2 linked regions of the Drosophila melanogaster genome follow. The protein of the gene in region 2 interacts with the protein of the main gene of each other region in a pairwise test. Each region holds a gene or a part of one and is shown on either strand. Other genes may lie near its edges.

Region 1 (4,242 bases), on a different chromosome or scaffold from region 2:
CAAATCCGCTGGGAAATAGGAGCATTGCAAGGGCGGCATCATGTTCCCGAAACTTGTTGATCAGCGGATATAGGCTGACATTGCTGACCAGGTCGCAGCTGACCACCAGAAAGTCCGACTTGATCTTATCGTATATGTAGCGCAGACTGTCGGCAGTTCCGAAATCCCCGTCACTAGGAATCGTGGCATAGTCCAGTCTCAGCTTTAAGGGAGTGTTTTCCAGAGCAGATTGGATCTCTAGTTTTTCTTGCTCCAGTACCACAACAATGACCTCTGAAATATTTTTCAATTAAATCCAGGTTTTTAATTCAGACTATCCGAATTACCTGTAAAGTTGTGTTGTTGCAGCAGATTTAAGGGATACCAAATCAGAGGATATGGACCCACCGGCAGCAGGCATTTGGGGGCATCCCCCAAGACCTCGGGTAGACGAGTGCCACGCCCAGCGGCAAAAACTACGGCCTGGAACTCGGTCATTGTTTCACAAAAATATAAATAATTTCGGCTAAAAAGCGTGCAAGCACAAAAAGAGCCACGCAAACAGCTGATCCAATGCAAGCGAAACACCTACGAGCGCTGTCCAACACTGCTTCCAATCAGACATATGTTTGCTGTCATGTGACTGTGCAATTGTTTTTGTTGCTTTTGCTATTGTATAAAACAAGTCAGATGACCCTTTTTGCAATGAAAATTCCCTTTTTCCACTTAATTATTACACAGAATGCACATCGTATGATACAACAAGACTTTAATGCATGATTTGCGCAGCTTACACTACACTACAAAAATGGAATACATACTTTTCTGCTTATTGGAATAGTCTACACACTTTTGCTACATAGGTACAATTAAGTTTGTGGCTTGCCCTTTGCGAATTACAATATGGAAACGGATACAGAACAGAAAATAGTTTAACAATAATATTGCTGGAATAAACACATCCAAGGTAATACTTAGAACAGCACGTCGTCATCGCCCTCATCCAGGATATTGGCCTGCTGGCGCACATCGATGCCCTGCTGCAGCAACTCCGCCTTCTTGGCGTCGGCCTTGATGCGTGCCTCGCGCTTCTTGTCCTGGATCTTCTTCAGTCGGTAGAACTCCTCACGCTCGAGCTCGTCCAGCTCCGAGATGATGTAGGCCAAAGTCCTATCGATTCGGGGGATGATCACATGCTCAATGGCGTTCACACGACGGTTGGTGATCTTGATCACCTCGTCCAGGGTGACGAATGAGGTCTGCAGCGAGGCCAGCTCCACGAGCAGTTTAACGGCGCTTTGGTAGTTCTTCTTCAGCTTGGCCAGCTGCTGACCACCACGGGCTAGACCGGCCAGTTCGTAGGTGTCGGATCCGTCCTGGTAGGACTCGAAAACGGGCAGAGTGACACCAGCCACGTTGTCCTTCTTGGTGCGGATCTTGATCTGGGCCTTGGTCACGTTTTGCAGCACCACTTGGTTGATGTCGCCAGACGTGAATTTGGCCTCCGCCAGCGAGAAGGCTGCCTCTTTCATAACATCACCCATCAGGGTCTTGGTCTCGATGATCTTGCCCAGAATCAAACGGAATCGCATCTGCAGGGCATCCGCCTTCTTCTTGAGCAGACCGTGACCTTTCTGGGCTCCAGCCAGACGGGCCTTCATCAACATCTGGGCACCACGGGACGGGAAAATCGGTAGCCTATCTTTTCCGGACATTTTGCTGTTTTTTTCGGATGGTAATTGGCTGGACTAAACAATTTTCAACTGCGTATCAAGAAAACTGCAACCGTCGCAGAACACTGAAAAACTCCAACTGGAAAATGACGGATGACAGTGTTGGCTACTGCCCGTAGCCAATCGATAACCAGTTGGTGCTGGGTAGTGCGCTTAGATACAGTACTGCAAAATACGCAGCCACAGCTGATTTTGCATTTAAAAGTAAACAAATCTAATAAATTCCATTTCTTTATTGGATTTATAATGCTTCTGCAACGCGTGTGGTTGACACATTTAAACAACCATCTACGCCAATACGCGAACAAGTCGCGAGCCCACATCAAACCAGCCATGGCCGTGAGCATGCGGATGGTCCATCAGGAGATCCTGCATTATGTAAACCCCTTTGCCAGGATCAACGTGAAGTCCGATGTTTTCCTGCGCATCCAGCCCGCGGATGTGCATCAGTATACCAGCGGGGATGTGTTTATCGCCCAACTGGTTGGCGGCCATGTCAAGAACTCGAATGTCTCTCTCGATGTGAAGGTAACCGATGAGGACAAGGTGGTCAATGTGGTGGTTAAACAACTGGCGGAGCAGCCCTCAAAGCTTGAATGCCATCTGCAAATACCTGTGCGTTCCGATGTCTCTGTGGACGCAAAAGGTAGTGTGCGAGTGGAAGGCATACAGAGTGAACTGCTGCAAGTCAAAGCAAAGGAAGGCATCCTTACCAAAAATATCAAGGCCACCCATATAAACTTGTACAGTGAAAATGGCAACATCAATTGCCAGGGCACATTGCTGGGCAAGATTACCCAAATAGAGTCACAAAATGGGGTGAGAAAAAATTTACTATCAATCTGATCTTATTATTAACCTTTATATTTCTTTTTTAGAACATTGCGATGGATAAGTTGCAAGGAGACAGCTTGAATTGTTCCACCAAAGCTGGCAGTATTGTAACCGATTGTTGTTATGTGGAAAAGTCAAAGTTTCAGACACAAACTGGGCGTCTGGAGCTCAAGAATGTCCACAAAAGCAGCGAAGTGCACGTCCATCAGTCGTCGGATCTCAATATGAGTATGCGAAACAACGAAGAATAACACCATCATGCTAAAAACTTTCAATTTCAGCTGGAGTACATGGCAATATTCAAATAACTACCAAAGGAGGAAATTTAAATGTCCAACTCTCTGAGCTAGTGGGGAGCAACAAAATCGACGCCGAGAACTTATTAGAAGAGGCTATCATACACATTTCCCAAGCCATAGAGCAGAATCTTCACATCGAGGTAACAGCCCCCGAAGTGAAATTGGAAAACGAACTGGAGCATGTAGCCCATGCTCTCAACGAGAGCAAGAACAAATTCGTGCTAAGCAATCCAAATACAAATCGACTGGAAGTAAGCAGCACAGGCGACAAGGGCGTGCGCCTGGGAAAACAGTCATGGAGCGATATGATGCGTAATAAGTTGAAGGCTACCGGCACCTTGGACGATTTACCTTAGGTAAAGACAGAGACTAACTAAGTTAAGAATATATTGTGCTGCAAGCTACAATCTCAGTCATTTTTGCTTTATCCATCATGGAGGCATGTTGTTTAGGCTTGGCCCGACTCCTTAGCCACTTTATCCTTTAAGCATTCAAGTGCCCTTGAGAAAATGGCTTCTTCCTTTCCGGCTTTGAGTGCAGACACAAACAGTTGCACCTTTTCATCGCCAATCTCTTGGAGATCCGAGTTTTCCGCTTTTATCACCATACATGCCAACAGGCGCAGCAACTTCAAGGCGTTCTCCACATACTGCTCCTTTGGAGCGTCATCCTCCTCCTCTTCGTCCTCTTCGAACTCATTGGCGTCGGGATCACTTCCCCCCGTGTAGTTGTCAATGTGCTGTTTAAGTCTATACCACAATTCCAAAAGATTTAAGAAGGCCTCCTTGTGATAGAAGTACTTCAGGCGCTGCAAAAATAAATATTTAAATAGAACGTCGAATATTAAGTATCTTTTCCAAACTTACACTCCAAATGTGCGCCAGATCCTCGAGATACTCCTCCTGGCGTTCGCCTAATGGAATGAGTTGCAGAGGCTGCTGCAAAAACTGCAGTATTCGCGCTAGACAACTGACTATACTGGGTGCATACACATCCATGGAGGCCTGCGCCTCTGGCAGTTGGACCAGAATGGTGCATATATTGAGGTAGGTTTGTATGATCTCCACATCACAGGTTATTTTTGGTCCGCACGAGTCGTAACCGACGTCGGCATCTTCATCACTGTCGTGGGCCGCTGGCACTTCTGCATCTTCGTTGTCCTCGCCAGCTTCCTCGTCGGTCAATTTTGTCTGATCATCGCGCATGAGTCGCAAAAACGCGCTATTGACCCCCTCGCAGAGTTCTGGCACTAGAAAGACCTCCGCAAAAGGCTTTAGATTCAACGTGGAGTTTGCGTTTTCCTCCTCCACCAAGGCGCAACTGGCCAGCACAGCATTTGTGGCCTTCAGTGCAGCTACTAGCAGTTCATCGCTAACGGACAGTTGCAATATCCTGCC
Region 2 (4,170 bases):
AAAAGGGTATACTAGATTCGTTTAAAAGTATTTTATAGATAGAAGGAAATTTTTTCCGACCATAAAAAGTATATTAATTCTTGATCAGGATCAATAGCCGAGTCGATCTGGCCTGGTCCGTCTGTCTGTCCGTCTGTGTGAACGTCGAGATCTCTGGTACTATAAGGTTGAGATTAAGCATACAGATTCTTAAGACATAGAGGCAGCGCAAGTTTGTTGACCCATATTTTGAAAAATGTTTTGATATGTTTTTATAATTTTATTAGACTTGTAAATTTCTATCGATTTGCCAAAAAAATTTGCCACGCCCACTCTAACGCCCTAAAACCGCCCAAAACTGCCACGCCCACACTATTGCAAAATGTTTACATTTTTTTCATAATTTTATAAGTCTTGTAATATTCTATCGGTTAGCCAAACAATTTTTTTCACGTCCACTCTAACGACCTTAAGCTTCCAAACCGGTCACGCCCACACTTTTAAGCCATTTTTAATTTGTTTTTCATTTTATTCCCCATCTATCGATATCCCAGAAAAATTATGAAATTTCGCGTTCGCATTCGCACTAGCTGAGTAACGGGTATCTGATAGTCGTGCAACTCGACTTAAGCATTCTCTCTTGTTTTACATTTCAGTTTTTGGCCACAAGCCGCCCGTATGCATGACCCACGCTTTCAAAATTTTTTATTATATATTTCTTTTTTTTATTTTTTTCCCAACTTCAATCGATATGGAAGAAATTTCTCGTTTGCTCTTTCACTAGCTGAGTAACGGGTATCTGATATTTGGGTATCTTAACTTCGCTTGTTTTTTAGTGAAAGCCATTTTTTTCAAATGGTTTGTACACCTTTATGAGAATGTTATTGCTTTTATTGTATCTCGTAAACTAAATATATGGTAGAAATGGTCTTGATCTTTTAAACACAAGTCATAGGGTTTTCCGTTTGGAATCCACAAGAGTATATGTCGTAAAAGTCCTTGTTCTGTTTAAGGCCCAGATAGAAGACATGCTCGGCCAGATCCTTCCCAAACTCACAGAAGTTCTGAGCGTAAAGAGTAAAAAATATACGCTTGTTGTCAAGATGGTACTTTTGAAGGACGCCATTTTCCTGATCGTATATCCCACTGTTCTGTGGAGGCGAGTTGATCCAGGCGCTGTAGTCTATCCAGGCCGCTCGGAAGCTCTTTAAGTAGATCACAGCCAGCATTCTGGCCTCATCCAGAACATTAACGAACTGCGGCAGCCTTAAACACTCCACATCTTCGCGAAACCGCGTGAAATCACGCTGACGCTCCAGACTATTAAAAAGCATCATGTACAAATGGACCGTAAACGTGGAGTAGAAGTAGGACATGGGCTTGTTGCGGCTCTGAAAGAGGTACATGCTCCAATCCAGCATGGTGCGCTGAACCCCCAATTCGTATGTTGAATTCAGTTTTCTGTGCTGCTCCAGATTGCGAACGTTGTGTTCGTAGCTCTCCCGGTAGATCCGCAGGTCCTTGTACTCCCGGCTCAGGTCTCTAGCATGGAAGTAGACTCGCGGCGTTTTAAATTTCTGCTTATACGTGGCCAGCTTGCTGAGAATGGGATTCGACTCTCTGTCCTTCTGAAACCTGACGACGAAGCGGTCCAAAATGCCCAGAAAGTCATCCAGCTCGTGGGATTCTCCATTGAGCATGTTTTTTGTAACTATATACCCGAAAAGTGGCTTGAAATACTCATAGGTCTCACGATAGCAGTCTTCCAGCGCGTGGTGCACGTTGCAGGAGATGAAGAAGTCCAGCGTCTTCTGCTTAGCCTCGAATGGCTCTGGATCGTTCTGCAGCTCGGTCAGCAACTGCATAAGATCGCCCATTTGCGGCATGTGTCCTTGGATAGGGTATATGCATTAGGCACTCCCCCAACACAGGCTTTCCTCACTTACCCATGATCGAAAAGAGGGGTCGATTGCGGCTACAGACGTAGTCGAAATAGCTCTCGCAGGCATACTTTTCGGTGTTGATGGAGCCCTGTATACGAACCGACAATTTTTCAAGTTCCCTTATCCGCAGCTCCGACAGGTGCCGCACGTATCCCACTTGGCAATGCCCTGAACCAGTCAACATCAACAGAATAAGCGCTACGGATGCGCCGATTGCAAGACTTGAGGTTGTCATCGCAGAGCTCAAGTCACTGGCAACCCAGCTTTTGCGCCAGCCTATCGGACCCCTCAACGGATGTCGGATTTCGTTGCACAGTAGTTCGAGAGAGAGTCACTTTTCAAATACGTCTATCACTGGGCAACGAAACTATTTAACTTCAATTGAAATGTAAGCACAAAACTCCGTATCCCCTGGTATTAAATAACTAAAATAACTTATTGAATGTTTCAATTTTTAGTAAAAACTTTTTTATTACTTTTGACAATATTTAAAAAGATTTTCTGTCCAAGTGGACAATAATTAAATGATTGTGGGCTGACATTGACATAATTTATTTTTATCATAATGAACGTTTGAAAAGCATAGATAGTATTGAAAAATGCCCTATTAGTGCAACTCAGTATATGTTTTTATGGTGTGTTTTCAACATTTTCAACTTATGCTTCTTCAACGTGTTTAACCAAAAATTTATCCGGACTTTAGAAGAACGTTTTGTTGCAGACAGTTACAAACAGTTCTCCAAAATCACAATAATCAATCTTTACCGTTTTACCTTTTTTATTTTATCGCGCACATATAAACGGTCTAAAAACCAATTAAACGCTCACATTCCTATTTTATCATTTTTACTTGAAAATGCAAAAACACCCGAAAGTTCTCGGGTTGTTTGTTGTTTTTATATTGTTGAATTATTAGAACGGATTTATATATGATCTTATTACACTCGCACCACAGTGCATTGCTCAATTCGAGGTCTTATTTTAATTCAGTGAGTGAGTTCCTATGCTTAATTATATTTCCGAAGCGATAAGAATGTCAAGTCCTATCAGGAAAATTTCTCTCCCACTGTTTTTACGATCGCGCTATTCTGGAATATGGGCTTTGCATCGTTTCACAAGTATTACGAGTTATATCTGACTAAGCGTAGACAACAGTGTGCAGTTGCTTATGAAAGGAATGATTTAAATATACATATACATACATAATATACATATATTATATTATATTTGTTGGTTTATAAAAAAAAAGTATTTTTATTGATCAAAAACTTAAGCGAATGTCGGAGACAAATTCACGTCTTACACAATTGAAGTATGAATAAAATCTAAATCTAATTTGCAAAGCGAACGCTTAGCAAACCCTTGGCTGAGCTTATTTACTTCTTCATATTGAGCGTACATAGGCTCTCATTTATGTTTACGTTAATTAGGCGCTCTCTTGAGTGGATTGCGCATGGATATAGATCAGCCGAGTTTGAGCTACGTGGAAAGTTTTGACCCTTAAAGCTGTGTTAGCAGTTTTGACCCTCTGGTGGGAGTCGCGAATGCGGCTGCGGATGTTTATGTCTGTTGGATTGGGTGCCTTCTTGAGTGGATCACTCATGGGTACTGATCAGCCGAGAACTTGAGCTGCGTAAGCGGTTTTGACCCTTTGGTGGGAATAACTGATTCGGCAGCGGATGTTAATGTTTACATTAGGGTAGGCTGGATTTGTTATTGTCACCAGAATTTGGGTTCTTATTGGATACATGATTTTATGACTTATATCCTAAGGCATTCTATGATTTTGTGTATGGCTGTTCCTATGTGGTTATGTATGTGTGTGTGTAAGTATATGTGGTCTTATACTATGGCACATATGCTACTTCCCCATCCTTTAAATTTAGCCTGTCCTCAGGCGGATATTCTAGGATACAATACAGGATTAGTATCAAATACTGTATTTATATTTTCTGTTGTTGTGTTATTTTGTTGTTCTATTTGTTGTGGATTCTCTTTTTTATATTTAACAATTAGTTTTTTGGGAATGCCTTTATATTTATAAATAAAATATAGTATAAGTGTAAGTATTATAATAGCAAGTATAGTTAATGTAATAATTTGTAATGTGTTGTATGTATTAGTGTGTTCTTTAATTATTTCTTTAGCATTTAGATATGATAATGGTTCTAATTTTGTTACATTGTTATTGATATAGACCGTTTGTGTGTAGTCTAGTGTTGTGCTTGTAATTAATATGTTTTCTATT

Evidence for each region.
Region 1: the proteins of CG1092 (region 2) and CG8187 interact in a two-hybrid assay, tested with the Drosophila melanogaster proteins (one large-scale study listed by BioGRID).

The regions. Positions count from the first base shown.
Region 1 is NT_033778.4:15,538,989-15,543,230, reverse strand, and holds CG8187 (uncharacterized protein), read left to right. Parts: upstream 1-1,867; 5' UTR 1,868-1,958; coding exon 1,959-2,531; intron 2,532-2,590; coding exon 2,591-2,774; intron 2,775-2,827; coding exon 2,828-3,201; 3' UTR 3,202-3,293; coding exon of another isoform or gene 3,294-3,653; 3' UTR 3,654-3,677; downstream 3,678-4,242. Other genes in the region: eIF2Bgamma (eukaryotic translation initiation factor 2B subunit gamma), read right to left, coding at 1-273, 327-477; Vha36-1 (vacuolar H[+] ATPase 36kD subunit 1), read right to left, coding at 954-1,694; CG30467 (uncharacterized protein), read right to left, coding at 3,294-3,653, 3,712-4,242.
Region 2 is NT_033777.3:4,264,961-4,269,130, reverse strand, and holds CG1092 (uncharacterized protein), read right to left. Parts: upstream 2,362-4,170; 5' UTR 2,158-2,361; coding exon 1,926-2,157; intron 1,871-1,925; coding exon 918-1,870; 3' UTR 815-917; downstream 1-814.